Linked DNA regions of Rattus norvegicus. The protein of the gene in region 3 purifies or fractionates together with the protein of the main gene of each other region. This does not show direct contact. Links are inferred from orthologs where the notes say so. Each region holds a gene or a part of one and is shown on either strand. Other genes may lie near its edges. The genes, in order: Cdk4, Erbb2, Hsp90ab1, Ppp5c, Mcm5, Ikbkb and Chuk.

The links.
Region 1: the proteins of Hsp90ab1 (region 3) and Cdk4 purify together in Homo sapiens (affinity purification with mass spectrometry; 5 studies listed by BioGRID and IntAct, counting the BioPlex papers as one, with this or other methods). This does not show direct contact. The link is inferred for Rattus norvegicus from reciprocal best matches to the Homo sapiens genes HSP90AB1 and CDK4.
Region 2: the proteins of Hsp90ab1 (region 3) and Erbb2 purify together in Homo sapiens (co-immunoprecipitation; 5 studies listed by BioGRID and IntAct, with this or other methods). This does not show direct contact. The link is inferred for Rattus norvegicus from reciprocal best matches to the Homo sapiens genes HSP90AB1 and ERBB2.
Region 4: the proteins of Hsp90ab1 (region 3) and Ppp5c purify together in Homo sapiens (affinity purification with mass spectrometry; 6 studies listed by BioGRID and IntAct, with this or other methods). This does not show direct contact. The link is inferred for Rattus norvegicus from reciprocal best matches to the Homo sapiens genes HSP90AB1 and PPP5C.
Region 5: the proteins of Hsp90ab1 (region 3) and Mcm5 fractionate together in Homo sapiens (co-fractionation; 3 studies listed by BioGRID, with this or other methods). This does not show direct contact. The link is inferred for Rattus norvegicus from reciprocal best matches to the Homo sapiens genes HSP90AB1 and MCM5.
Region 6: the proteins of Hsp90ab1 (region 3) and Ikbkb purify together in Homo sapiens (affinity purification with western blotting; 3 studies listed by BioGRID and IntAct, with this or other methods). This does not show direct contact. The link is inferred for Rattus norvegicus from reciprocal best matches to the Homo sapiens genes HSP90AB1 and IKBKB.
Region 7: the proteins of Hsp90ab1 (region 3) and Chuk purify together in Homo sapiens (co-immunoprecipitation; 3 studies listed by BioGRID and IntAct, with this or other methods). This does not show direct contact. The link is inferred for Rattus norvegicus from reciprocal best matches to the Homo sapiens genes HSP90AB1 and CHUK.

The regions. Positions count from the first base shown.
Region 1 is NC_086025.1:64,770,193-64,774,252, reverse strand, and holds the start of Cdk4 (cyclin-dependent kinase 4), read right to left. Parts: upstream 2,801-4,060; 5' UTR 2,660-2,800; intron 2,205-2,659; 5' UTR 2,189-2,204; coding exon 1,971-2,188; intron 1,840-1,970; coding exon 1,704-1,839; intron 1,592-1,703; coding exon 1,424-1,591; intron 1,275-1,423; coding exon 1,165-1,274; intron 459-1,164; coding exon 408-458; intron 320-407; coding exon 184-319; intron 1-183.
Region 2 is NC_086028.1:83,921,101-83,924,600, forward strand, and holds part of Erbb2 (receptor tyrosine-protein kinase erbB-2 precursor), read left to right. Parts: intron 1-1,133; coding exon 1,134-1,207; intron 1,208-1,288; coding exon 1,289-1,379; intron 1,380-1,496; coding exon 1,497-1,696; intron 1,697-2,175; coding exon 2,176-2,308; intron 2,309-2,397; coding exon 2,398-2,488; intron 2,489-3,229; coding exon 3,230-3,390; intron 3,391-3,500. UniProt on the Homo sapiens protein: Protein tyrosine kinase that is part of several cell surface receptor complexes, but that apparently needs a coreceptor for ligand binding. Essential component of a neuregulin-receptor complex, although neuregulins do not interact with it alone.
Region 3 is NC_086027.1:22,929,245-22,933,222, forward strand, and holds the start of Hsp90ab1 (heat shock protein HSP 90-beta), read left to right. Parts: upstream 1-1,178; 5' UTR 1,179-1,223; intron 1,224-2,448; coding exon 2,449-2,595; intron 2,596-2,768; coding exon 2,769-2,975; intron 2,976-3,188; coding exon 3,189-3,348; intron 3,349-3,617; coding exon 3,618-3,978. UniProt on the Homo sapiens protein: Molecular chaperone that promotes the maturation, structural maintenance and proper regulation of specific target proteins involved for instance in cell cycle control and signal transduction. Undergoes a functional cycle linked to its ATPase activity.
Region 4 is NC_086019.1:86,839,706-86,843,930, reverse strand, and holds the start of Ppp5c (serine/threonine-protein phosphatase 5), read left to right. Parts: upstream 1-1,425; 5' UTR 1,426-1,437; coding exon 1,438-1,558; intron 1,559-4,225. UniProt on the Homo sapiens protein: Serine/threonine-protein phosphatase that dephosphorylates a myriad of proteins involved in different signaling pathways including the kinases CSNK1E, ASK1/MAP3K5, PRKDC and RAF1, the nuclear receptors NR3C1, PPARG, ESR1 and ESR2, SMAD proteins and TAU/MAPT.
Region 5 is NC_086037.1:13,495,313-13,498,812, forward strand, and holds part of Mcm5 (DNA replication licensing factor MCM5), read left to right. Parts: coding exon 1-127; intron 128-1,589; coding exon 1,590-1,756; intron 1,757-3,500. UniProt on the Homo sapiens protein: Acts as a component of the MCM2-7 complex (MCM complex) which is the replicative helicase essential for 'once per cell cycle' DNA replication initiation and elongation in eukaryotic cells.
Region 6 is NC_086034.1:76,020,640-76,024,830, reverse strand, and holds the start of Ikbkb (inhibitor of nuclear factor kappa-B kinase subunit beta), read right to left. Parts: upstream 2,801-4,191; 5' UTR 2,718-2,800; intron 2,447-2,717; 5' UTR 2,425-2,446; coding exon 2,320-2,424; intron 1-2,319.
Region 7 is NC_086019.1:252,934,274-252,937,773, forward strand, and holds part of Chuk (inhibitor of nuclear factor kappa-B kinase subunit alpha), read right to left. Parts: intron 2,261-3,500; coding exon 2,191-2,260; intron 586-2,190; coding exon 497-585; intron 1-496.

The DNA.
Region 1 (4,060 bases), on a different chromosome or scaffold from region 3:
TTACCAGGGGATCTGTCCATCTCGCCACAAGAATGGCACTACAGAAGCACCTGACTTCTACGTGGATTCTGGGGATTTGAACTCAGGTCCTCAGTACTTATGCAAAGGAGCTCTACCCACTGAGCCAGCTTCCCAGGCCATGCCGTGTCTTGTCTTAACCCAATCCCTGCTCAGGCCCAGTACCAGCAGCAACTGCGCTCCAGATTCCTCCATCTCCGGCACCACTGACTGCACTGGCCGAGGTCCTCTGGGGGAAAAGGCTCCTCGAGGAAGAGAGACCTCTCGAGGCCAGTCGTCTTCTGGAGGCAATCCAATGAGACTGTAGGGACAGGACAACTGTCAGGAGGGGCCCCTTCCCAGCCAGTTGCTATGGAATGTTCCTTTCCTTTTCCTTAGTGGATACTTACTCAAAGATTTTGCCCAGCTGGTCAGCCTCAGAGTTCCCACAGAAGAGAGGCCTAAGGTAGAAAGATAGTCAAAGTACATTCTTTTAAAAACCGGAGTAACCGTTAAGTGGACCAAACTAGAGTGTGGAGCTAAGGAACAGGAAGTTACTAAATCCAGGGCATTTCAGATTTGCCCATGTGGTTTCTTTTCTAGGCAAGGTGATTGGTATGAACTGGGTAGGCTGGGACTATGGCTGGATGGCAGGGGACCATGCCTATGGAAACCCCAGGTTGGGTATCCTGCACTGTACATGCACAAGAATGGTCAAGAACAGATAAGTCTGTAAAAGACCTGGGGCAGAGTGTTTAGTTTAGTGGTACAGAGGCATGGCTGAGGGGTTGGGGATTTAGCTCAGTGGTAGAGCGCTTGCCTAGCAAGCGCAAGGCCCTGGGTTCAGTCCCCAGCTCTGAAAAAAAAAAAAAAAAAAAAAAAGAAAAGAAAAAGAAAAAGAAAAAGAAATAGAGGCATGGCTGAGTGTACGTGAGTCCTGATTCCAACCTCTAGCACCGTGAGAGAGCAGCAAAAGATCTGTGGAACTGAAGGTGGCTTAAGAGTTTCAAGTCCCAGCCAGGCAGTGGTGGTACATGCCTTTAATTCCTGCACTCTGGAGGCAGAGGCAAGAGTTCAAGGCCTGCCTGATCTCGTTTCTGTGTAGCCAGCGCTACACAGAAAAACCCTGTCCCATGGCAAACAAAACAAATGTTTCTAGTCCCATACTTCCGGCGAAACATCTCTGCGAAGATACAGCCAACACTCCACATATCCACAGGCGTTGCATATGTAGACTGCAGAAGAACTTCAGGAGCCCGGTACCAGAGCGTAACAACCTAAAGAGAATAGGAGAAATAAGTGAGTGTTGTCCTCGTAAACAACTGTTTGGCTCTGAAAACTTCAAGTACAAGACTCCTTAGTCGCTTTGGGAAACCACCAAGCCCTACCCCGAATCCCAACCTATTCCGGCTACTGTCTTACTGACCACAGGCGTGAGGGCCATCTGGTAGCTGTAGATTCTGGCTAGGCCAAAGTCGGCCAGCTTAACTGTCCCATTACTTGTCACTAGAATGTTCTCTGGCTTCAGGTCCCGGTGAACAATGCAGTTTGCATGAAGGAAATCTAGGCCGCTTAGAAACTGGCGCATCAGATCCTGGTTTTGAAGAAAGAAGCAGAGAACTGTGGAAACTATGTATCACTGTGTCCAAAATCCCAACAAGTTCTACTGCACATATCAATCCACCTCCACCCACCCCTCCACTCACCTTAATGGTCTCAACAGGCAAGCCCGGCGGAGGTGCTTTGTCCAGGTATGTCCGTAGGTCCTGGTCTATATGCTCAAACACTAAGGTGACCTTGATGTCCCGATCAGTTCGGGAAGTAGCACAGACATCCATCAGCCTGAGAAGAACAAATGGTCAGGAGCTGGCCATCCCCTTTGTTTCAACATGGCCTCTGGCGTTCTAGGGTCCCACTCCTGACTAACGGGTCCTATTGTCCTCTCCGCCCCACTCCCAATCCAACCTTCTCACCGTACAACATTGGGATGTTCAAAGGCCTCCAGCCTTCTTAACAAGGCCACCTCACGAACTGTGCTGACGGGAAGGCCCCCTCCAGCTGCTCCTCCATTAGGAACTCTCACACTCTTGAGAGCCACAAAGTGGCCACTGTGGGGATCTCGGGCTTTGTACACCGTCCCATAGGCACCGACACCAATTTCAGCCACGGGTTCATATCGAGTGGTAGCCATTCTCGGAGCAGGGGATCTACAATCACAGAGGCTTCTAATACCAAGCTCTCTCTCACAGTTAGGAGGAGATGACCCGGCAGTAACAAAGAAACTCCTGCACAAGACCTCACCAACATTATCACCAGCATCCCACCCTCCACACATCCAGGGCCCGCGCTCCTTAGGTAACACAAAGACTTCCAACAAACCCTCTTCCAGCCACGTTTTGTCCTGGAGGAAGAAAAGAATGCTTTCTTTTCTTTCGGAGGACCATTGCGCCCGGCACAAAGAAGATCACAGTGCACAGGGCTTGCATGGAACAGTCTGCGCTTCACTCTCTGAAATCACACCCTCGCCCACGACCACAAAGGCCCCACTTCCCGCCATTGGGCCACCTTCCATACTCAGCCAGCGACGCGCACGCGTGGGGAGCTGGAGGGTGCTAGTGCTCGTGGGGACTGGCCCCCCGCTTCTGGAAAGGGTTGCACTCACCTTACGCTCGGCCAAGAGCTGCGGAGGTGGCCCTTTATCTGGGCCCGGGAGCCGTTTCCTGCGGCGCCATACACCGGGGATCGGTCCCGGGCAGCTGGACGCTTCGGGCCAGACCATAGACACAGGCCGCGAGCTAGAGAGGCCCCCTCACCCCCACCCTCACCATGTGACCAGCTGCCAGAGAGGCGCGCGGAAACCCGGGAGGCGGGGCCGACGGCGGACGTTCTGGACACGTGACCTCCACCCATGCGCACTCGGCGACCGGGGCCCCTTTGATGGGAGGGGTGTGGTGGGGGAAGAGGGCGGGACCTGTACTGCCACGTGACCTGTTGCTATCCCACGTGACCCCTTTACTTTGCGCTGAGAAGCGGAGGTGTGGTTACGCTGTGTGGCACGTGACCGGCTGCCAAACCCTGACTGCGGAGGGGGTGTGTGGGGGCGAGAGAGGGTGGGGCACAAGGCGGTGCCATGGCAACCGGGCCAACCAGCTCTCAACGCTCAGCTCAAGGCCGAGCCTGAGAGCATCTTCAGTCTCACTACGCGTCTCTATGTGGGCGGGAGGTCGAGGTGCTAGTGGGAGATCCTGGTGCCAGAGATGGTGCTGTAACATTTCCACTCCACCGCCATGGGGAAACATTCGTATTTGTGTCTTCATTTTACTCATTCATTCAACAAAATTTTACTAAGTGCTTCCTTCCAGTTGGTATGCGATGTTTTTGTTTTGGTGTCTCAGTCACTCCGCCCTTTGAAGTGATGATAAAGATAGCTAATAAGGCAACCGTGGTCTTATAAAAACAGGGAGTAGACAATTTCTATCCGAGGAGGAAACTAAAAGATGGATAGAAGAAGATTAACATAGTAAGCCGCTGTATGGGGGGCGACAATGTAATGCCCTCCTTCTTCCCAACTTGTAAACCTCCCCAGGAATATTAAAAGCAGCAAGAAGTTATTGGAAATAAGGGTTCTTGATCTTACAAGTGTCTTTACACTAAGATTGCTATATATATATGTGATTGCATGAACAGACAACAGGGTGAGCACATCCAAGGGCAGTCACCACCACATTGCTGGAATATGACTTGTGTCCCTCTGCAAACCTGTGACTCCTCATAGGGGTCACATTCCTTTTTTTCCCCAGTCCTGCTTAGAACGTACCCTTGCCCTGATCAGCGTTTCCTAAATGGTCTGCCTACAGAAATCTAGTCAGATAGAGGTAGATCTGTGTGACGATTTGGTTGGCTCCAACTCCTTTATTGTCTCCCATCAATTAGGAGCATGAGGATAAAAGACCATGTTCCCAACTGTGAAGAATTGCTAAAATCTAGACCTATTTTTGGTGCCGAGGATTGGAGTCAGTGTTTTTATATGTAGTAAGAATTGGTTCAGTCACTGAGCTATATT
Region 2 (3,500 bases), on a different chromosome or scaffold from region 3:
GCTCACTAAAACAGGCTACAGCCATGACCAGGGAACATGAGGAATTGATTTTACATCTCTAGTGCTGGGATCACAAGCTCAGCATCACACATGAGCTGCTGCTGCTGCTTTCTTCTTCCTCTTCCTCTTCCTCCTCCTCTCCCTCTTCCTCTTCCTCTACTTCTTCCTCCTGCACTTCCTCCTCCTACTCCACTTCCTCCTCCTACTCCACTTCTTCCTCCTCCACTTCCTCCTCCTACTCCACTTCTTCCTCCTCCACTTCCTCCTCCTACTCCACTTCTTCCTCCTCCACTTCCTCCTCCTACTCCACTTCCTCCTCCTACTCCACTTCCTCCTCCTACTCCACTTCTTCCTCCTCCACTTCCTCCTCCTACTCCACTTCTTCCTCCTCCACTTCCTCCTCCTACTCCACTTCTTCCTCCTCCACTTCCTCCTCCTCCTCCACTTCCTCCTCCTACTCCACTTCTTCCTCCTCCTACTCCACTTCCTCCTCCTCCACTTCCTCCTCCTACTCCACTTCCTCCTCCTCCTGACAGGGTTTCTCTGTGTAGCCCTGGAACTCACTCAGTAGACCAGGCTGGCCTCAAACTTGAAGATCTGCCTGCCGCTGTGGATGCTGTGGTTCCGGGGTATGGAACGCAGGTCCTCAGGCTCGTGGGGCTGAGCCCTACTGCTTAGCCTCATTGCCTCCTCCTCTCTTTCCTACGCCTCAGTGCCTCCCGTGTAAAGGGAGGACCGGCATGGCTCTGTGCTCAAGGTGGTTAGAGTCAGATAGAAAGTTAATAGTTGGGACAGGCGCCTGACGGATGCTGAGCGCCCCCTGTGTTCGTATTTTAGAATCTGCGGGGATCAGGGTTTTATGTTAACAGCACCCTGTTCAGATGTCGTTCCTACAAACAGTTCAGGTTGTTTATGCCTCTGGGAAGTGAAGCCAGTGTCCATGCAGGATATACCACAAATAAGACTTCTAGACCAAAGGACACAAATATTACTGCGCCAGACTTTGACCCTAGGCTTCAGTCTTCGGATGGGAACAGCCTAGTTGATAGGCTTTGAGTGAAGGCATCTGTGAGGGTGGAGAGGGGGTCGCCAAGGCCTTTCGGGGCTCCGCTGACTCCTCCGGATCCTTCTAGGGACCCCTCCTCCGGCATTGCTCCGCTGAGGCCTGAGCAGCTCCAAGTGTTCGAAACCCTGGAGGAGATCACAGGTGGGCTGTCTGTCTGTCCTCCTCCGAGGGGGCTGGGAGTTCTGGACCTTTCTACATACCCATCCCCCCCTCGGCCTGCAGGTTACCTGTACATCTCAGCATGGCCAGACAGTCTCCGTGACCTCAGTGTCTTCCAGAACCTTCGAATCATTCGGGGACGGATTCTCCACGAGTAAGTGGGAGGGAAAGGAAGCCTAGGAGGCATGGCTACATACCCTGTGGCCCCTCGGTGATCAGAAGTGGGCCTAGAGTAGGTACCTTCTTGAGATTGGAAACCCCATTTCCACAGTGGCGCGTACTCATTGACACTGCAAGGCCTGGGGATCCACTCGCTGGGGCTGCGCTCACTGCGGGAGCTGGGCAGTGGATTGGCTCTGATTCACCGCAACGCCCATCTCTGCTTTGTACACACTGTACCTTGGGACCAGCTCTTCCGGAACCCACATCAGGCCCTGCTCCACAGTGGGAACCGGCCGGAAGAGGATTGTGGTAAGACAGGCAGCCTAGCACTGAGGGTCAGTACAGAGGAGTATCAGGAGCCTCTGTCAGCAGCCTCTCCGGTGCGGCCGGTGCAAACCTCGTGTCCGAGCCCTGTTGTTGTTTGGAGACAGGATCTCACTATGTAGCCCTGGCTGTCCTGGAACTCACTCTGTAGACCAGGCTGGCCTCCAAATTCAGAGAGACCCACCTGCTTTTACTTCCCGAGTGCCGGGATTAAAGGCGTGTGCACCATCAGGCCGGGCTACAGCCCTGTTCTTTGCCTGCCTATGGACGGCTTAGTCTTGAGCATGGCTTCAGCTGTGTCGTCTGTGCTGCCAGACATCCCCCCAACCCCTTCCCTTTTTCTTGAACCTGCATGTCCCAGCACCAGTCCTTAACCCTTCAGCCTGGAGACAAGCTCATAGCCTTTTCCCTTAGACCTGAGCCTCTCCAAACACCTCCGTCTGCTGCTTTTCTCCTCGCTGCAGGTCTCGAGGGCTTGGTCTGTAACTCACTGTGTGCCCACGGGCACTGCTGGGGGCCAGGGCCCACCCAGTGTGTCAACTGCAGTCATTTCCTTCGGGGCCAGGAGTGTGTGGAGGAGTGCCGAGTATGGAAGGGGTATGAGCTGCAGAGGAGTGGGTGGCTGGAGGGGTACTCGGGGGCAACCCCCACCGACCAACTCCTTACTACACCCGCCTCTCTCTCAGGCTCCCCCGGGAGTATGTGAGTGACAAGCGCTGTCTGCCGTGTCACCCCGAGTGTCAGCCTCAAAACAGCTCAGAGACCTGCTTTGGATCGGTGAGGTGCTGGTGGGCTCAGGGCTGAGGGAGGGGCAGGCTGAGGGACCAGGAGGTTGCTGCCGGGTGAAATATTCCCAGAGAAGGACTCCACTCAGGCCTGGAGAGACAGAGCAGGGAAGATCAGGGAGGCCAAGACTGGGCGACTGGGGGACTGGGGGACTGGGGGACGGGGGACTGGGGGACTGGGGGACTGGGCGACTGGGGGACTGGGCGACTGGGGGACTGGGCGACTGGGGGACTGGGGGACTGGGGGACTGGAGGACTGGGGGACTGGAGGACTGGGGGCTGCTCACATTGTGCTGTGGACTCTGGGCTACCTCTTCCTGCTGTTGACACTGGAGCCCTTTCAGCCTGGGACAAGGTTCCAAGAAGGCCTGTGTCCTTGGCAGTGGCTATGCTAAGGACCAAATGCAGGCCATGTTTCCAGCCTCAGTTTTCCCTTCTATAAGGTGAATGTTGTAATAGTCCCTACCTGGTTGGGGTGTGGTGAGAACAGAATTAAATAGGATTTGGCGCAGTGCCCAAGCATGAAATAAAACCTTTGTACATAATGGCTGTCACTTGTCACACCTTAGGGGATGCACGTCCCTCTCCGGGTGCCTCCACTTCCTTGTAAAGAGCAGGGATGTTTACTCCAGTAACTGGGAGGCAGTGTTTCTGATTCGGGGACACAGGGCCCAGTCCTTTTGCTAGAGGGATGGCAGCCCTAAACCCTCACAAACCCTTCCTGTCTGTCCAGGAGGCTGATCAGTGTGCAGCCTGCGCCCACTACAAGGACTCGTCCTCCTGTGTGGCTCGCTGCCCCAGTGGTGTGAAACCGGACCTCTCCTACATGCCCATCTGGAAGTACCCGGATGAGGAGGGCATATGCCAGCCGTGCCCCATCAACTGCACCCACTCGTGAGTGGAGGGAGTGAGTCTCTTCAGTAGAAGAGAGGGTCTTCATGACAGGAGCCTCTTTAGAGCGTATTACGAGAAGGGTGCGATAATATGAGGCTGGTTTAACTTAT
Region 3 (3,978 bases):
TCTCTAGGTTCAAAGAGCTGCAGTAGGGAAGAGGGCTAGCTAGAAAAGCGAAACCAGCTTGAGAAACAGCTTGTGCTCGCAAAGGGAAGGCACATGTCCCCGCGCGCCTTGTACGTGGGCGACCCGGGAGGCTGAGGGTTGGGGAGTGTTCTACCCAGTAGCGTTCGGTTTCCCGTCTCTGTTCACAGAAAGGTGTCCGCAGTCACTCACCCCCACAGCCCCCGTGCCCTGTGACCGATCCAGGTCAGCCATCCCTCCCCCCTCTGCGCTCCACACCTCCACAGTAATGTGGGCCTTCCAGGGCCACGAGTCGTACAAACGTAGCCCATGGTACAGAGACTTGGGGAAAATATTTCCCCAGGTTAAGATCGTGGCAGAGAAAAAGAACCAGCCGAAAGGCGATGAAGACACAGCCCCCGCCGCAGCAGGGGAGGTGGAGCCTCGGGGGGAGGGGTTGAGACCGCCGAGACAGGCCTAGAAACTGCTGGAAGAAATCGAAGCACCGCCACTGCTGCTCCTTCCGCCACAGGCCGCCAAAGAGTCCCTGCTAGCCCAGGCCCGCGCCCCTCCCCTCGGAGAAGCTGCTCCCCGCCTGCCGCTTCGCTGTACCGGGGAGGGTGGGGATCAGGGACTCCTTAAAGTTGGACAACGAATTTCTTATCATCCTTTTCTCTCGATGTGCGATTTGTAGGGAACATTCTAGTAAGATCGGGTCTGAAAATGGCAGCCGAATTGGTCACCTCCGTTCTCTTTCAGAAGTCCCTTGAGGACTGGACTCTTGAGGGTGGGAGCGCCTACATCGAATTTTCTGCGCGAGTCCGTGGGGTATTCGCCGCAGATACATCCCCTAATAGCATATGCATGCTCCCTGGCCATCTTGAGGGCTACATGTCCTACTCATGCAGAAATGAGGGTACCAAACGCTATTGAATTGGCCTTGACTCGCAGCCCAGGCCCGGGGTCCCGCTCTTCCCCGCCCCCTCCCCGGTCTGCGAGCATGACGTCAAGGTGGGCGGGCGGTGGCAGGTGCGTGGCTGGCAGCCACTCCTTTAAGGCGGAGGGATCCAAGGGCGGGGCTAGGGCTGTGCTTCGCCTTATATAGGGCGGTCGGGGGCGTTTGGGAGCTCTCTTGAGTCACCCCCGCGCAGCCTAGGCTTGCCGTGCGAGTCGGACGTGGTCCGGGCCCACCCTGCTCTGTACTACTACTCGGCTTTCTCGTCAAGGTAAGGCCGCGCTCTCCTGTACTTGGCGGCTCCGTGGGTCTTCTTCCTGGGGTCTCCGCCAACATCTCATCTGAACTAAAGGCTCCTTGTTGGGCTGGGCGGTCTGCGGGGATAATGTGCCTAGAATGTCTCCAGTGGCTCATGGTGGACCCCGGCGGGCTTGCACCGCGAGGCTCCCCCGGGGCCGGTGGATTCCCCAGAGCGTGAGGTGGGGGTGCGGCCGGGCCAGGTGGTGGGCGGCCGCACGTGGTAGCCGCCGACCCGGGACGCTGCCATGTTTGCCCTCCACTTCCGGGCGCGGCTGCAGGGTCCATAGGGTCCGCGCGGTGGCGGGCTGCTATGTGCATGACTCAGCAAGACGAGGTTGGCCTGGCTACCTCCCCCGGACGCGTTTCCCAACGTGTTTTGTTCTGGGGAGGGGTACAAGGGTTGGCAGGAACGCTTGAACCCACTGCGTTTGTCCCTTTCCAGATCTTTCTGCTGCCCTCCCCGTGGAGTGGGAGGAGAAACGGGGAGGGAGCAGGTACGGGGAGATTCTTAGGTCCCTCCCTTACTCCTCCCCTCCCGGGAGCTCAGATTGTTCTGGAAGCCTCGGGCGCCCCGCCCCAGTGCCCGGATGCTGGGGCGGTGGGAGGGCTACAGTGGCGCCCCCTCCCCGTGAGTCTCCTGGCGACGCATGTCCGGGTCGCCGGACGGCTGGGCCACCATTTTACTTGTGTTTGGGCCTATGCAAGTCTGCACAGTTCAGCGTTCATGGTGGAGCTTTTTACCTCTTTGTCCTGATTTAATTGCCCTTTGAGTCCTTCCAGAACTATAGCTTCGGGTTTTCTTGCCCTGCCGAGGGGAAGAGCACAAATCCGTTTACGGGAGGCTGCTCTTTCTGTTAAAGTTGATACTTAACCCCAGTGAAGAATGAAGAAGAAATTGGGGATCTTATTGTATAGTTAACTCAGTCTGGATTTTTACTATATCGGCAGGTGTTCTGTTCTGAGTCAGGGAGCTGAACTCTTAATATGCCGTTCAAAAAGTCTGACATTTGGACATTAGTTTGAAGAGCCATCCTTTGGGTTTTTTTCCATTCTTGATTTGTCTTGCCACTGTAGCTTTAAGGTCTTTCTTTTATTTCTTTCTTTTTTTAAACAAATGGCGGTTCTAGTCTTGGGAATGGGTACTACCCAGATTAAAGAAGTTTGAACTGAACTTTTAATAAGACTTTCATTCTTAGATGCCTGAGGAAGTGCACCATGGAGAGGAAGAGGTGGAGACCTTCGCCTTTCAGGCAGAAATTGCCCAGCTGATGTCCCTCATCATCAACACTTTCTACTCAAACAAAGAGATTTTCCTCCGGGAGTTGATCTCTAATGCTTCTGATGTGAGTGTTCTGTTGAATTTCTAAGACGCCACAGAAGAGTGTGAGTGAGTGAGTGAGTGTGAGAGAGAGAGAGAGAGAGAGAGAAGCAGGGAGTGATTAGAGTAATCCAGCAGTTGATGAGAAGGAACTGTTTGGATAAATGGAATAAGTGGCTGTGTACGTGTACATTACAGGCCCTGGACAAGATTCGGTATGAGAGCCTGACTGACCCTTCCAAGTTGGACAGCGGGAAAGAGCTGAAGATTGACATCATCCCCAACCCTCAGGAACGCACGCTGACTTTGGTGGACACAGGCATTGGCATGACCAAGGCTGACCTCATAAATAACTTGGGAACCATTGCTAAGTCTGGTACAAAGGCGTTCATGGAGGCTCTCCAGGTGCGTGTGTGGCCTTCCACCCATGCCATTCTCAATTTGTTACTGCTTCTGGCTTGCTAATTTAAAACTTGTCAGACTAGGATGTGTGGTCTGTCTTTCTAATAAGTACTTGTGGCCTAGATTCTGGAAGTTGAACTGATTACTACACTTGCTCAGCAAGCGGTTGTGCTTGTACAAGAACAGTTTTGCTCACTCTCTTACAACCCTTTGCAGGCTGGTGCAGACATCTCCATGATTGGGCAGTTTGGTGTCGGCTTCTACTCTGCCTACCTGGTGGCAGAGAAAGTGGTTGTGATCACGAAGCACAACGATGATGAGCAGTATGCCTGGGAGTCTTCTGCTGGTGGATCCTTCACTGTCCGTGCAGACCACGGTGAGATGGCAGTCTACGTTGGGTTGGTAGAATTCTCTGGGGGAAAGCCAGAAAGAAGCAGCCTTAATAGTTACTGTACTCTATAAAAGTACATTTTTGAGGGGTGAATGGCAGCACTTGGGACATGGCATACACGGGTGGTGGGTGAGTTGAGGCAAGCCAGGGCTGTGCAGAAACAGATCGCTTGAGAAACCAGGAACAAAAAAGAGGTGTACCTGTTTGTTGAGTATTTTAGTTGCAGTTTTTCATGTCTGGTTCACTCTCTGTAGGTGAGCCCATTGGCCGGGGTACCAAAGTGATCCTTCACCTCAAAGAAGACCAGACAGAGTACTTAGAGGAGAGGAGGGTCAAGGAGGTGGTGAAGAAACACTCACAGTTCATAGGCTACCCCATCACCCTCTATCTGGAGAAGGAACGCGAGAAGGAGATCAGTGATGATGAGGCAGAGGAAGAGAAAGGGGAGAAGGAGGAGGAAGATAAGGAGGATGAGGAGAAGCCTAAGATTGAGGATGTGGGATCTGATGAGGAGGATGACAGCGGCAAAGATAAGAAAAAGAAAACAAAGAAGATCAAGGAGAAGTACATTGACCAGGAAGAGCTGAATAAGACGAAGCCCATCTGGACCAGAAA
Region 4 (4,225 bases), on a different chromosome or scaffold from region 3:
GACAGACATGGACACCAACATCTATTTCCAGAGTGATTGCTGGTTGTGCTGAGGGGTGGAGGAGGAGTGAGGCTGATACACAGCCTTAAAGCACTTGGTGTTAGCGTCTATCCAGAAGACTTAAAGACTCTAGAATAGGAAGATACATAGTGGGATCTGAAGATGTTACTGGAGGCTAGACTAGCCATGGCTTCTCAGAAAGAGTTTGGGTTTTCTCCTAAGGGAGTTGGGGAGCCATGGAAGGTTGGGGCGGGTGCCAGTCTTACAGTGTTCTAGCAAGATGTCTCTAACTGCCATATGGAAGGTAAAGTGGAGGAGGGAGGATGAAGCAAGCATCAGAGGAGGCTGAAGCTGCGATCCAGGCCAAGAAATGCAGCCAGCAACAGGAGCCTCACTTAAGAGATCCCCTTGGTGTGGTTGTTTGTGTTTGTAACAGGGTCTCAAGTATCCCAGTCTGGCCTTGAACTTGAAATTCTGATCCTTTTGCCTCCACCTATCAATCATTCAAATGACAGAGGTGCATCTTTCAGTCTGGTTTATATGGTGCTGGGGATGGGACTCAAGCCTGGAGCATGCTAGACAAGTACTCTATCAACTGAGCTACATCCATGACCCTCTAAAAGATTTTCCTAGGACTTCATAAGATGGTGCAAAGCTTTAAATCCCAACATTTGGGAGGCAAAGGCAGTTTGGGTTGCTGAGTTCAAGGCCAGCCGGGTCAATATAGGGAGTTCCAGGCTAGCCAGGGCTGCATAATGAAACCCTGTCTCAAAATAAAAAATAAAATAATAAAGATGCTGCTGGTCTCGGAACACGATACAACTGATACGTGCTCAAGGCTTGAAGATTGGGATGCCCTGTTAATAATTCATAAAGAGCTTTGACTTAAAACATTCAAGTTTTATTTTGTTTGCTTGAGAAACTACCCATTTTCCAGAAGGGTCACTGGGGTGACAGGAGATAGACTTGTTCAAGGTCACACGAGTAAATGGCAGCACCCAGCTCCAAAGCAAGCTCCCGGTTGGGCAGGGTGCTGACTTGAAAGCAGCCCCACCCGCCGGAGGCATCACAACCCAATCACCAACCCTAAATGAAGCCTGGATCTCCAAGACCCAAGAAACTTTTTTGCAGCCTCGCAAACTTTGGAAACAGGCGCCCTCCGGACCTGCCCCCACCCCCATGGCCCTCTCTCTCTCCTTTCTGATTGGCTACTTCTACGAGTGCCGTCTGGATACCCTCTGGTCACCTTGTCCTCCGGGCGCTCTGTGGAGGGTGGAGGGAGTGGGGGGGCCGCCGCGCAGGCGCGTCAGGAGTGCCTTTGGGGCCCGCGCTTTACGACACTTGTGCGGCAGCGGCGGCGGTCACTCGGCACTCCTTCGCGACGGTTCGGCCTGGTGCCGCGAGTGGCCGTTGCCAGGGTGGGGGTCGCTTTGCGGCATGGCGATGGCGGAGGGCGAGCGGACTGAGTGTGCTGAGCCCCCCCGGGACGAACCCCCGGCCGAAGGCACTCTGAAGCGGGCAGAGGAGCTCAAGACACAGGCCAACGACTACTTCAAAGGTGCGTCCGGCCCGGACCGGGGTAAGGGAGGGTGGACAGCGGCCCAGGCCGTGGGGGTGCCAGGCCCCGCGGGGAACCATGGCAACGCGGAGCGGCAGCCTGGGCGCCGGGCAGGCACTACTGAGTAGCCCGGCGCGAGGAGAAGGCCAAGGATGGACGGCAGACGGGGGGAGAGCTACTGAGAAGTGGAGTACCGAGCAGAAGCTACTCACTGGGGATACTGAGGCAGGCGCTGCTAAAGGATAGGGGACAAGCAGGGGGCCGACATGTGAGTGCTACCAAATGTGAGAGACCTGGACAGAGATGCTAAATGGTGGTCAGACCTGAAGAGGGCGCTACCAAATAGTGACATGTGTTTAGGGCAGTGATGGCGCTGCCGAGCGGGGAGGCCTGAGGGGAATATGACCAACTGAGGAGAGAAGGCCCAAACAGAGAAGTGAATTATGGGGATGGAAGTAGATAATTATATTGGAAGGCGATTTGGGGTGATCCAAGGAAAGGAGTAGGGTGTAGAGGTGGAGCAGGAACGAATAGGGTGATCTTGGGATAAGAGTGCGATGTGGGAGGACATGTCTCCATTCATTCATTCTTTCAGTACACTTGTATTAAATAAGAGTCATGTGCCACGGCCTGTGCTTGGCTCTGAGGCTGTAGCAATGAATGAAACGCATGACTCGGATTTAAGCAGAACCAATAATTGCTAACTTGTGATGATCACTTTGGCTCAAGGTGACAAAGTAGGGAATACAGCTTAGAATGTGCTTTAGGTGGTGAGGTCTGGAGTGCCTGGAGAAAGGCTTTTTAAGGAGAATTGGGAAGGAGTTTTAAACGTGGGTTTAAGGAGAATTGGGAAGGAGTTTTACACGAGCTTGCTTTTACCATGGATCTTGTGTACCCCGGGGTGGAGAATGAATGAAAACAAACTGGCTTAGTTGGAGCTTGAGCAAACTGGGGGTATGAGGGGAAGACTGATACAAGGTAAGATTGGCAAAGGGGCCAGAGCGTGCAAAATCTGTGAAGTCATTCTGAAGACTAGTTTTGTGTTTCCTCGGCTGTCCCAAAAAGGACATTGAGTAGGTAGGTAGGCCAGTCTGGGCTGGAGAAAATTTTGGGTGTATCCAGCCTTTGGTTGGAGGCGCCCTGGGAATGGATGAAGTCACCCAAGAGTGGGATCCAGAGAGAACCTAGAATGGAGTTTTCATGTTTACAGTGGAAAGGGGGCTGCTGAGGAGAAGTGACTGAGAAACCAGGAAAGGTGCCAAGGCTAAGAGAGCAAGGCTCTTCCAGAAAGAAAGCCATATGCCTGGTCACCTAGCCCCAGGCATTGTCCGTCAGAGGTTTTGCTCCCAGATGAATATGGTGATGATGTTGAGGATAGTTGTGGACGATAAAGAAGCTGCTAGCCCAGAAGACCCTGGCTGGCGAATGCAAGGGAGGAGTTGGAGACCAACAGGCACAAGTGTCTCAGTTCTGAAGGGGAATGGAGAATCGGGGCAGATGGCCAGAGGGAGTAGGTGGGGGTCCCTAGGGATGCTTTTTCAGATATGGCCCAAAAGAGAAACAGGCCCAGCTGTAACAGATCTGGTGGGGGAGGGTGAGAAGGATTTAGAGTCCTAGGGAAAGGTGGGACCTCCATGGGGATAAGCCCAGATGTAGTGATGCATGTCCGTTAACCCAGCTTTCGGGGGGGCTGAGGAGGATGGGGGTGACATAGCAAGGAGAGAGGGGAGGCCAGAGTTAGAGCCTCAGAGGGTCAAGTGGGTTCATAGGTGTCATCCTGAAGCCGGCAAGGAGCTGTGGAGGGTTTCCAGAGAGTGGTCCAGTTACTCTGGGTACAGATACTGGTCCTCCCTGCTGTTCAGAGATTGGATCCAAAGGCTGGATTGGAGAGAGGACCAGGGAAGGCAGTGAGGAGGTGGAGCCTTCCACCAGGCTGGCTGCCTGGAGATGGGGAGGGGAGCACGTGGCTAAGGCCCAAGGTGAGTGGGGCAGGAGTTCGAGGTAGTTAGGAGGGTTAGGATGGAACTACAGACAGAAGGTAATGGCAGGCTCCGGAGGAGACTTGAGCTATCAGTTGAGGCCCTGGAGAACTAAAGCTGGTCCAGATTCATGCCTTCTAAAAGACAGGGCAGGAAGCTGGGAGGCCAAGATACAGGCTACAGCAGAATAGGACTCTGCAGGGGAGGGCAGAGCTTAGGGCAGGGTGGGGCTGCTAGAAGGGAGGGAAGTTAATGGGTGTGAGAGATACTATCGGGACAGTAAGCCCAGCTTGCAGGGTTTGGAAGGTTGGAGGCTGCCAGCACCAGTTGACCAGGCCCAGCTATGTATTGGTTGGAAGGCACGGCCATCTTTCATTGGGTCCTGAAAAGATCAACCAAAAACTGGGCTACTGCTGCTGAGGACAAGTGGGGGATGGAGTTAGCTATCAGGAGGGACCCTTCACCCCCACCCCTACCTACCTTCCAGGTCCTAAGAGTCAGGCTCTCAGGAACCTAGGACTGGGCAGGCCGCCAGAGGGGCCTGGCCTGGAGCTGGCTTGAAGGAGCACCCTTCCGGATGCAGGCCTCCCACTACTGTGGGCAGGCAGTGGCAAGCACAGAACCCCAGGCTCAGACTATAAGGATACCAATAAAAAGAATAATTGCAGCTGGCTTTTATTGCACCCCT
Region 5 (3,500 bases), on a different chromosome or scaffold from region 3:
TGGACCCATATTTCATCATGCCTGACAAGTGCAAGTGTGTGGACTTCCAGACCCTGAAACTGCAGGAACTGCCTGATGCAGTCCCTCATGGTGAGATGCCCAGGCACATGCAGCTGTATTGTGACAGGTAAGTGTGCAGGGGCTGTGGGTTGGTGTGCACGCCACTCCATCTGGTGGCAGTGTAGGCTCAAGCCCTCGCTGTGTCTGGTGCATTATCTTATGTGTGAGCCACTGCCGCTGTCCTCACACATCAGAAGAGGGCATCGGACCCATTGCAGACGGCTGTAAGCCACCGTGTGGGTGCTGGGAATGGAACTCAGGACCTCTGGAGAGCAGTCAGTGCTCTTAGCCACCCAGCCCCGACTTTGTCATTTTTTGTTTCCCATAGTTTGCAAGGCATGTCCACTCCTACTTTATTTACATGGGTACTGTAAACTAAGGGAGGTCAGATGACTTTATGAGTAGAACTAAGGCCTGTGTGTCTTCCAGGACAGTCTCTATCCCTCCTAGTACAGAGCTGGATAACCAGAAGCAGTGCTAGCTCCTATCTAGTTTGGGCCTTTGTTGAATAGTCACAAAATGACCTAGATGAAGGCTTACGGATCCCTGAGTTTTTACCCTGGGCTCATATACCTGAGGATGAGTATCAGATGTAAAGCTTGCTGGGGAGTGGATCCACAGTTGTCAGCTTTATCATTGACAAAACTGTGCAGACTCAGCTTGGGGAAACTATATACTAAGTCCCAATTTTTTTTTCCTAGACAGAGTGCCTGAAAAGCCATTATCAAGAGTTTAACACAATTGAGTATATTGTATTAGAGTCTTCTCTTATGTATTCAGAGAACTGGGGGGTTGCATCGTGGAATGGGTAGGAAGTTAATAGGACAGTGTATGTAGCAAAAACAGTCCTCGGTGAGACTGATTTGATAGTATCTGTCCTCGCTGAGACTGATTTGATATACATAGAACACCTTTCAGTTTGTTGGTTACCTTGCTTGATTCCCAACAGCTGAGACAAGTCAGAGTCCTCTTTTCAAGCTCAGAGAGGCACAGTGACTTCTGAATTCACACAGCTACCTTATGGTCCTTTAAGCTATATTGATTCTGGGGAAACATGGAGACTTTAACTGCTTAACGTCTTATTGTTAAAGAGATGACTGAAAACTAGAGGCAGATTGACCGCGCTGAGCTCAGGGAGTATGGTGGAGGCAGAAAGGGAGGGAGGGTAGCGCTAGCACGTAGTCCGTAAGGGATTGAGGAGGAAGTTTGCCCTAGGGTGCCTGGTCACAGCTAAAATAAGCTAGGACTTCTGAAGGCTTGGCAAGGGCACCATGCCTCACCTCTGCCAGTACAGCACCTGACCTCTTGAGTTCAGTGAGAGTCAGGCCAACATCCTGACACTGTGCTAACTATGCAGGCTGACGTGTGTGGTAGCAGGAGCAGGGAAAGGTTCCGTTACTAACTCTTAAACCACACAGGGATTGAGCTGCCTTGATAGTGATACTTAGGGTAGAAGCACTGAGCTGACCACACCGTCCATCACCTTGAATCCCATTTGCTCATCTTTATCTTCCCTGCACTTTACCCAGGTACCTGTGTGACAAGGTTGTTCCTGGGAACAGGGTCACCATCATGGGCATTTATTCCATCAAGAAGTTTGGCATGAACCCCAGCAAGGGCCGGGACAGAGTGGGTGTGGGCATTCGGAGCTCCTATATCCGGGTGCTGGGCATCCAGGTAGACACAGATGGTTCTGGTGAGTTGCTTTGAATTCTACAAGCTGCTCACGTGATAACCTAGGCATTCTTGAATTGCTCAAACCGTTAGGATGTGCTGTGCTGTGTGTGTGTGTGTGTGTGTGTGTGTGTGTGTGTGTGTGTGTGTGTGTGTGTGTGTGTGCGTGTGCGCGCGCGCCACATTAGACAAATATTCTACCACTTAGCAGTATTCCCTATCCTAGGGTGTTCATTTTTACAGCAACAGTTTGTTGCCCTAAATTTTCTACTTACTGGTGTAGTTTGTAGCTGCTGCCCTAAGTTGTTGCCTGAATGCATGCTTGAGTTGCATGACTTGGTGTTATAGATGGGATGAGGTGTGTGTCCTGTGCTGCATCTTGGTGGGTGGAAAGGAAAAAGTGCATAAGTGTGAGCAGACAGGATCTAGTTGGAAAAGGAGCCCCTAAGGGACAGGTATCTGACATTGAACTGCTTTATTCCATTGAGCATTGTGGGAAGGAGTCGTCTATCAGGAGTGTGAGCAATGGCTTTGAAGGGTGTCGGTGTGAGGGAGGTCCTTTCAAGTATAAAGGAGAACTGGTGGGAACTCAGGGCGGGTGGGGGTGGGGGTGCAAGTGACAGGGTCGAGTGGTAGGGGTCAAGTAAAGAGCCTCAACTCTGAGATGGAGCAGAGATCTCATGCTTACATCCAGGGACAGCGGGAGCTGCCTTGAGGAATGGTCCCTACCTCTGGTCTAGAGTGATGGAGTTCTAGTACTGTGTCCATATTTCGTGTTGGTAGGAGCTAGCTCCCTTGGTTAAAACTGGAAAAGCTATGGGTTCATCTGGCCATATTCCAGACGTGGACTCTTCCTGACTTGCCATATCACTTCATGCATTTCCCATCTCTTGAAAGCGGCTCTTCTTTAGCCTTCCCTCCCCTTGCTTAGCAAATCCTCCAGATCCTCTTCAGTTCCCTATGTTGTTTTTTAAATCCCCTTACCCAGTAAGCAAGCTGCTTGGCTGCTCTACTTTTATGGCCACTTTTTTTTTTTTTAAAGATTTATTCATTTATTATATATAAGTACACTGTAGCTGTCTTCAGATACACCAGAAGAGGGCATCGGATCTCTTTACAGGTGGTTGTGGGCCACCATGTGGTTGCTGGGAATTGAACTCAGGACCTCTGGAAGAGCAGTCAGTGCTCTTAACCGCTGAGCCATCTATCTCTCCAGCCCTTATGGCCACTTCTTACCTCCCTGCTCTGAGTCCCACTATTGTCTCCTGGGTTGTTTTTTTAAAGCCCTCTGCCACTTGGTCCCACCCGCTTCACTTGGTCCCACCCTCTTCACTTGGTCCCACCCTCTTCACTTGGTCCCACCCGCTTCACTTGTCTCACCCTCTTCACTTGGTCCCACCCTCTTCACTTGGTCCCACCCTCTTCACTTGGTCCCACCCGCTTCACTTGTCTCACCCTCTTCACTTGGTCCCACCCGCTTCACCTGTCCCACCCTCTTCACTTGTCCCATCTCCTTTCCTCAGCAGCTCAAGCTGTTTTGATCGAGCAATTGCACTGACTATCTGTCTATGAGAGACTTTCCAGTGTCCTCAAGAGTATGTGATCTGGCCTTCTGTTTGGAACTTTTTTCCTCTCTGGCCCCTTGAGATTTGAAAGACTGATGCAGCCCCGTGCCCTAGCTTTCCTTTTCCTGAGGGACTGACTGTCCTGGTGCTGAGAGCGGTTGGTGTGTTGACGGCATGTCAGGGTGCTTCTGATCTAGGCTG
Region 6 (4,191 bases), on a different chromosome or scaffold from region 3:
GGCTTGGGTCGATTGTGAAGAGCTAAAGAGTACCTACAGAGTAACTGGCTATGGTTTAGGACATGTCCTAAACTCTAGCTCCAACCAGAAGAAGCCACGGCAGGGCATATCGTCCGGATAGGAATAGATGCATGTGTTAACGGCATAGCCTCTTTTGATAGATTACCTAATTCCCTTGTGCTTCTGATTCCTCGGTTATAACACAGGAATTAGAGGTGCCAACACCAGAAGTAAAGCATGTAAGTAAGGTAAGGTAAAACAGACCCAGCAGGTAAGAAACCTACCCCGACCTTGACATGTAAGAGGTTTGCAGCAATGACCCTGGTTCTTGGGCCACATTTCTGACTAGGGCTCTTTCAGGCAATTTCTCTGTGATAGCTACAGACTATTCCCTTGCCTGTAGACAAGGGAAAGCCTATGAGGTAGCACGAAGATGCCTGATGCCATCTCGGCTGCATGCGCCTAGAGGCTGGGGACAGAGGCGCGTCCCACAGAAGGCATGCTGCGTCTTCCGATCTTAGGTGTGGGTTAAAGATTGCTTCTATGCACCCAAAGCAGCCCCGAGGCTACCCCAAGATCCGTCCATGAAGACAGCAGAGGACTTCCAGGTCTAAGCAGGCATGTTCCCCAGCCAGCACCACTTCAGCCAGACTCCTCCTGAACTCTAACCCCTACCCCCTCTATCCACCCAAGTCCTGTTTATTTTAACCCCTAAACCTCTTCAGTCTGCCTATTGCTCCCCATCATCACCACCACCAACCAAGCTAGTCTCTCACCTTGACCGCTTAATTTTGAGTCAAGACCTTGGTTTTAGCTGTTTAGGAAGGATTCCCTAGAAGGGTGGCCTCTTGTTTTGGTAAGTTTCCCAAGGGTTGCCCAACACCGGAATCCTAAAATGTAAAAATAGGCCTCTGGAGAGAGAGCACTTCCCCAGGTCTCTCAGGAGGTTGGGTAACTGGCCTGGCAGAAATGAAGACATTCTAAAGAGGTAGTTTTAAACATTGGATGCCAGAGAGATGGGAAATTCCCCAGAAATTTCATGGTGGGAGAGAGGAAAAACTACCAGCCAGAGGGGGAATTTGTCTTCTGGGCCACAGAGCTTGAACACACTCTCAGAAAATCTCACAGGATGACAAAAAAAAAAAAAAAAAAAAAGGACCTGTGGTAGGCTGGACCAGACTGCTTACATGTGCATATCCTTGGCGTTCTATTTGAACTTTAATCTAATGTTAGGATCATGGAGATGGATGTGGGAGGTTTGCTGGATCTGTCTGTCCCTCTTCCCAATGTGACCTCGCCGTGAATGAATCCCTTGTTTTCCACTATTTTAATTGACTTACTGAGGACCCAGCATAGGGCACAGGCTGTGACCCCCAAGTGTGACAATTACACTCACGTGCCCTGAGGTAAGTAAGTGTTCTCCAGCAGAGACATCACAAGCAACGTGTGCCTTTTAGGCATTATTACGAACCAATTACCCAAATTGGGTAAAACAATCTCATACAGTAAACAAGTGAGCTAAGAGAGTCCTGCCAAGAATCGCAGTGTACTTACCGACAGCCCAAACAAAAAAAAATTGGAAGACCAGAAACTTTTAACCTGAACAACTCATGCCAGACACTGAAGGGCTAAAATAATAGGAATAATAAGCAGATCCCAAAGCAAAATCAGTCCAAATCATTCCGCATTATAGGGGCTGCACATTCTCACCCATTAGCCTTAATCATACTAAGGGTGTTTTGTGCAGAACCATACTAGAAAGAAAGAAAGAAAGAAAGAAAGAAAGAAAGAAAGAAAGAAAGAAAGAAAGAAAGAAAGAAAGAGAGAAAGAAAGAGAGAGAGACAGAGAGAGAGACAGAGAGAGAGACAGAGAGAGAGAGAGAGAGAGAGAGAGAGAGAGAGAAAGGAAGGAAAAGAAAGGAAAAAAAGAAGAAAAAACCTTGGAGTTATTAACTACCTAAAAATACTTTAAATAGTTATTTAAAATGTTTTTATTTCTCTCATCTTTTAGCACTGCCTGTATTCTACAACATTTATCCCTATGTAATCTATCACGTGTTAGTCTAAATATTAGTAAATGTATAATTTTAAAATACTTGGAATGACAGCTTACTCCCCCCCCCCCGCCCTTCTAAGTATCAGGGTTATTAAGGTTTTTAAGACTCAGTTTAGCAGCTCACAGGTCCCCTTTGCAGTCCCTTTTCTTACACTCTCATTGGACCACGCCAAGGATAGGAGGGGATCCACCCATCCACACCAGGCCAGGACAGAAGAGGCGCCAAGACAGATCACCCGCCCTCCCCGGTGCCAGAGCCCTACCTGATTGTGCCACCGGATGACGTTTCCAAATCCCCCAGTTCCGAGGCGTTCTTTCATTTCCCAGGCCCCACATGTCTGGGTTGGGAGAGAAGGTGACCAGCTCATATCGATGCCCTCCCTGCTAACTCTAGAAGCAAGTAGGAAGAGAGGACAAGTTGAGAGTAAGAACACTGGAGCTCAAGAAGCAGGGGGAAGCAGCAGCGGCTGCTGCCTTCAAGGGGAGGCTGGGCTAGGAGACCGATTTAGTTAACAAATAAAAGTTGCTGCGGCCCGGCCCGCCGGCGGGTCCGCTCCGCACCGCACCGAGCGCGGTGCAGCCAGGGACCCCGGGGAGAAGCCGAGCGTGCACCCGGGCGAGCCGGTCCACCGGCCACGAGCCACCCTCGCGTGGGACTCACCTGCCCCGGGGGCCGCGGGGCCGCTAGCGACACCCGCTGAGGACATGAAAACTCGGGGTCCCCACGCAGCCAGCTCAGCGCCACTTCCTCAAACACTTCCTGCCCTGACGTCACGGGCACTTGACGGCTCTTAAAGGGGACGCGCGAGCCGCTCGCTGGGACTGAGCCACAGCCAGCCGTGGTGCTGGACCTGGCGGTGCAGGACCTGGCGGCTTGGAGAGTTCTTCACCCTGGCGCTTTTCTGACTGAGCTTGATCCCACTGGCTTAGGCAGTTAATCTGCTAAACCCCCACTAGGGCTGACTTAGGGACTGTCCTAAGAATTGCTTCCCTGTCCTCCCACCATTCGCCATTCGGAGCCCGAACGCTCCTGGTTCAGAAATAAGAATAAGAAACCACCCTTATGCTCCTCATAACACACCACCATCCCCCTCAAGGGGGGAGGGAGGAGAGGGAAGAGTACAAAGATAAAACAAAAGCTAGTGCTGTCTACCTAAACTGGAGTTTCAGCACTGGGAGCATAGGGAAATTACTTGTTATTAGGTCAAGAGCCTGGGTATTGCCACTCCACACCCCTACCAGCCCCCACCCCTGCCTCGAGCAAGCCAGGTTCAGCCACTCACCTTCCATAGCCTAATTCATGATACAAGTAGCGATGAAAGGCGGGTGAAGAAGTTTATTCAATGTGACTACATTGGGAAAAGACAAGAGATCCAATCACTCTCACCCGTACCTCTGCTAAGCCAAGTCCAATTTTGGGGTCCTGCCATGGGGTTTGGGTTTAAATGGAAGGGAAGAGGTATACATAACTAAGTATTTGTGCTCAAGGTATGTTCTGGTCCACCATCATTGATGAGGCTCCAGTCTCTCCTATGAGGTGGCATTTGTCAGAACCGTGTGAAAGCTCTGCCTGAGCCAGGCTCCTCTGCTGTTAGCACAAGGCTTCTGACATTGCTGGCTTTTTAGACAGCGGACAGCAACCAGCGAGGCCAACAGAGTCTTCCACGGATTGAATGATAAGTCCACGGTCTTTGTGGGATAACTAGGGAACTCTGAGAATTTGAACTCAGGAATAGAGCAAATAAAGCACTTCTCACTCTTTTATTGTTAAAGCGAGCAAAACACGAAGTGATGTTGACAGAGAGCTTTCGCAAATACAAGGACAACAAGGGAATACACTTGGTATTATGTCTTATCATCCTTGGACGTGTGAGGAAAAAAGCCAAGAATATTCCTCCCAGAACTTCGCCCCTCCCACAGAGATAACATGGACATACCCTTCGGTCCTCGCTTTCACCGCCATCCACTTTTTATAGGTTATGCAATTATTTCTAGAAGGCCACCTTGTGCGAAGAACATTCTGCACTCTGCCCTGACCACAGTTCTCAGGAAGGTCACAGCTTTCTTTCTTTTTTTTTTCTTTCTTTTTTTTCTTTTTTCTCAGAGCTGAGGACCGAACCCAGGGCCTTGCGCTT
Region 7 (3,500 bases), on a different chromosome or scaffold from region 3:
GGTCAATATTCCTAGTCCAGAGATGAGCAAGACAGATGCTTCTCTAAGGAGCCACTGTTCCATAGAGAAGGAAAAAAAAAAAATCTAACCACAAAACCACCATTCAGGGGATGGACAATTGGCCAGGCAGTTACAAGCACTGGTTGCTCTTGCAAAGAACTTGAGCTCAATTCCAATCACTTACACAATGGCCACAGCCATCTGTAATTCTAGACCCACGAACTCTGGTGCCTTCTTCTTGTGTCCTCCACAAGCACCATATGTGGTACACATATACAGAAAATAATAACAACAAGCACAACAATAATGTATCTAAAACAATAACAATAATAAGTCTAGAATTAAAAACCCTACAGTTTAATTCAGTGAAGACCACAATAGAAGAATTATAAAGTACTATGTGTATATAATTAATGAGAAAACTAAAGTCTCTAAAGTCTTAATGTACCAGGGAGACTATAACGAAAAGCATGAACATTCTTCAGGCTTCACCTACCTTCCCACCAACATCTTGAAGCACTATATTTTCAGGTTTTAGATCTCGATGTATAATTTTGTTTTCATGCAAATAACGAATCCCAGATCCTAAACAAAATTTCAAGTGTATTGTGAAATAACAGAAAATACTGTTTAAAAAATCATATCACACTTTGTTTTTATTGTTAGAGTTTTGAGACAGTTTCATGTGCCCTGTCTGGCCTGGAACCCCTATGCAGCCAAGGATTACTTCACTTCTAATTCCTAATCCTCTTGTTCTCCCTCCCAGTGCTGTGACTGCAGGCATGTTCCAGCACCCTCAGCTCTTTCCTTAGACAGGGTCTCACTATATAGCCCTGGCTGGCCTGCTGGTCTTGATCTCATGGAGATCCTTCTATCTCTGCCTCCCAGTGTTAGAATAAAAGCTGTGTGCCACCATGTCTAGCTACAGTCAGTTTTTAGCTCATATTTCTATAGATCTACACTGGTGCAAAAATTATGTCCAGAGCCATTATGGAGATGGCTCAGTGGATAAAAGTGAATGCCGTGAAAGCCCAAGGACCTGAGTTTAACCCTTGTCCCTCCCCCCAACACACACACACACACACACACACACACACACACACACACACACACACACACAAAGTCAAGTATGACTTTGTGTAACAATAACCCCAGCAGGGTTAAAAAGAGGAAAAGGCAAATCTCAGGAACTGGCTGGTCAGCCAGCCTAGTCGGAGCATGGAGCTTCTAGTTTAGTCAGAGACTCTGTCTCAAAACAATCAAGTTAAGGAAATGAGAACATCTGCCATCCTGCTGTTGCCTCCAGATGCATGCTGTGAGTGTGCACCAACAATCGCCCCCATGTACCACACACCACACCTCCCCACATTTACACGATCTATCACAGCTGCACCGCCATTAGGGTAGTTCAGATTTTCTTCACCAGAAGTTCAATGACATGAAATAAACACTGGAAAAATTATATTATATACTCTTTTAATTTATTGGAATCAACATTAAAAGCAAATGGAACGATTAATTTTTCCTGTAATTCTTATGGTCTTTTCCTCCCACCTAAATCACATTCTTTTTTTTTCCTTTTCTTTTTTTCGGAGCTGGGGACCGAACCCAGGGCTGAACCACTGAGCTAAATCCCCAACCCCCTAAATCACATTCTTAAACTAGATATTACTGTCCTTGACCCAGGAAAAGAAGCAACACTAAAACATAGAGGGAAATGAATTCTTGCTTTTTGAGGTTTCTTTAAAGGTCTAGTTTATGGTTATTTTAGGGATTTTTTTCAGTAGTAATTCTGACTAGAAGGAGAATTTCCTTCCAAGATAACTTGAGGAACTATCCCTGAAACATGTAATTCCTCTATAAACAAACTATTATGTCAGTGTGGGGGGAGGTATGAGGGGGAATGAGATGAATGTTGGTTCATACCACTTTTCTCATCACTGGACCATCTATTAGACAATAATACATAGCCAAAACCAAACAACAAACAAAACCCCCTCATATAAAAACAAATGCCAAATGTACTAGTTTTCATTAGCATCATAAGAAATGGATAATTCTAATTTTTCAGAGATATTAAAATCTATAAGTATATATATGTAGTTCTCCTTCCCTTCCAAGCAGTACACAGAAGTTTCTGTGGACCAAAGGGGCATTAAATCGCATGATACTTTAATATTAGTTACATACCTATGTCACTCAGTAAAGAAAGGATCTGGCTCTCTTTAAGTCCACAACAATTTTCTGGTTTGTTGAGTAGCTAAAGAGAAGAGAAGAAAAGAAAAGACATCTATTACTGCTGAGTGGCAACAGCGAAATCATCAACCACTATACCGTCAGAGGACACTCAAGTAAAAAAGTCACGCTACAGAAATTATAAGGATTGGGGCATAGTGGTGCATGTCTATAAGGCCAGCACATGGGAAGATGAGGCAGGACCCTGAGTTCAAGGCCAGCATGGGCTACATTGAAAGTCTGTTTTGCTACTTGTAACAATGACAAGAGATAGAAGGGTAAAAAAAAAATCATGAAATCCATACTGAGGTTGAATAAATTTGATGAGAAGGCTCATATGGAGTAAAGACGAGGGCAATAGCACTTGAAATTGAAAAATGCTGATAAAGAGATACATTTAAAATTAAATACAAAGAGTGATTATAATAAAAAGACAAGTTTTTAATAAGCCCCACAAATGTTGATATTTTTATTTAATATGACCAGCATGTTCTAGGCCAAGCATGGTGGCACATGCCTTTAATCCCAGCACTCAGGCAGAGGCAGACAGATCTCAAGACCAGCCTGGTCTAAAAAGTGAGTTTTAGGACAACCAGGGGTCCATAGTGAAATGCTGTGTCAAAAACAACAAGAACAAGAACAAGAACAACAACAACAACAACAACAAACAAAGAAACAAAAATAAAATTAAATTAAAAAAACCTAGAATGTATATAGCAATTAGTGGTTTTGGTTTTTTGTTTGTTTGTTTGTTCTTTTGTTTTGTTTTCTTGCCAACTTGGCGCGAGCTGGAGGAAAGCTCACTTGAGGCAATGCCGATCAGGCTGGCTAGTAGACAAGTCTGTGGGTCACTTTCTTGATTAGCAGTTGATGTTGCATGGCCCAGCCCACTGTGGGAAATGCCACCCCTAGACAGGCTGCAGTCCTAGATTATAACAGCAAGAAGGCTGAAGGAGTCATGAGGAACAAGCCAATAAGCAGTGCTCCTTCATGGTTGCCACTTTAGTTCCTGCCTTACTTTTCCTCAACGATGGGCTGGGATTGGTACATACAGAAACTTTAATTTTCCCAGGTTGCTTCTGTTGTTTCTATTGCTGTGGTCTTTATCACAGCAATAGAAAGCATTAAGACAAAGATTAACAAATATTTTCTGTATGGAGTCAAATATTAAGTACTTCAAGCTATGGAAGTCATAATTTCTGTTCCACTACTCAAATCTAGAACTGTTCATAAGCAGCCATAACATGCACAGAGCTGTGTTCCAA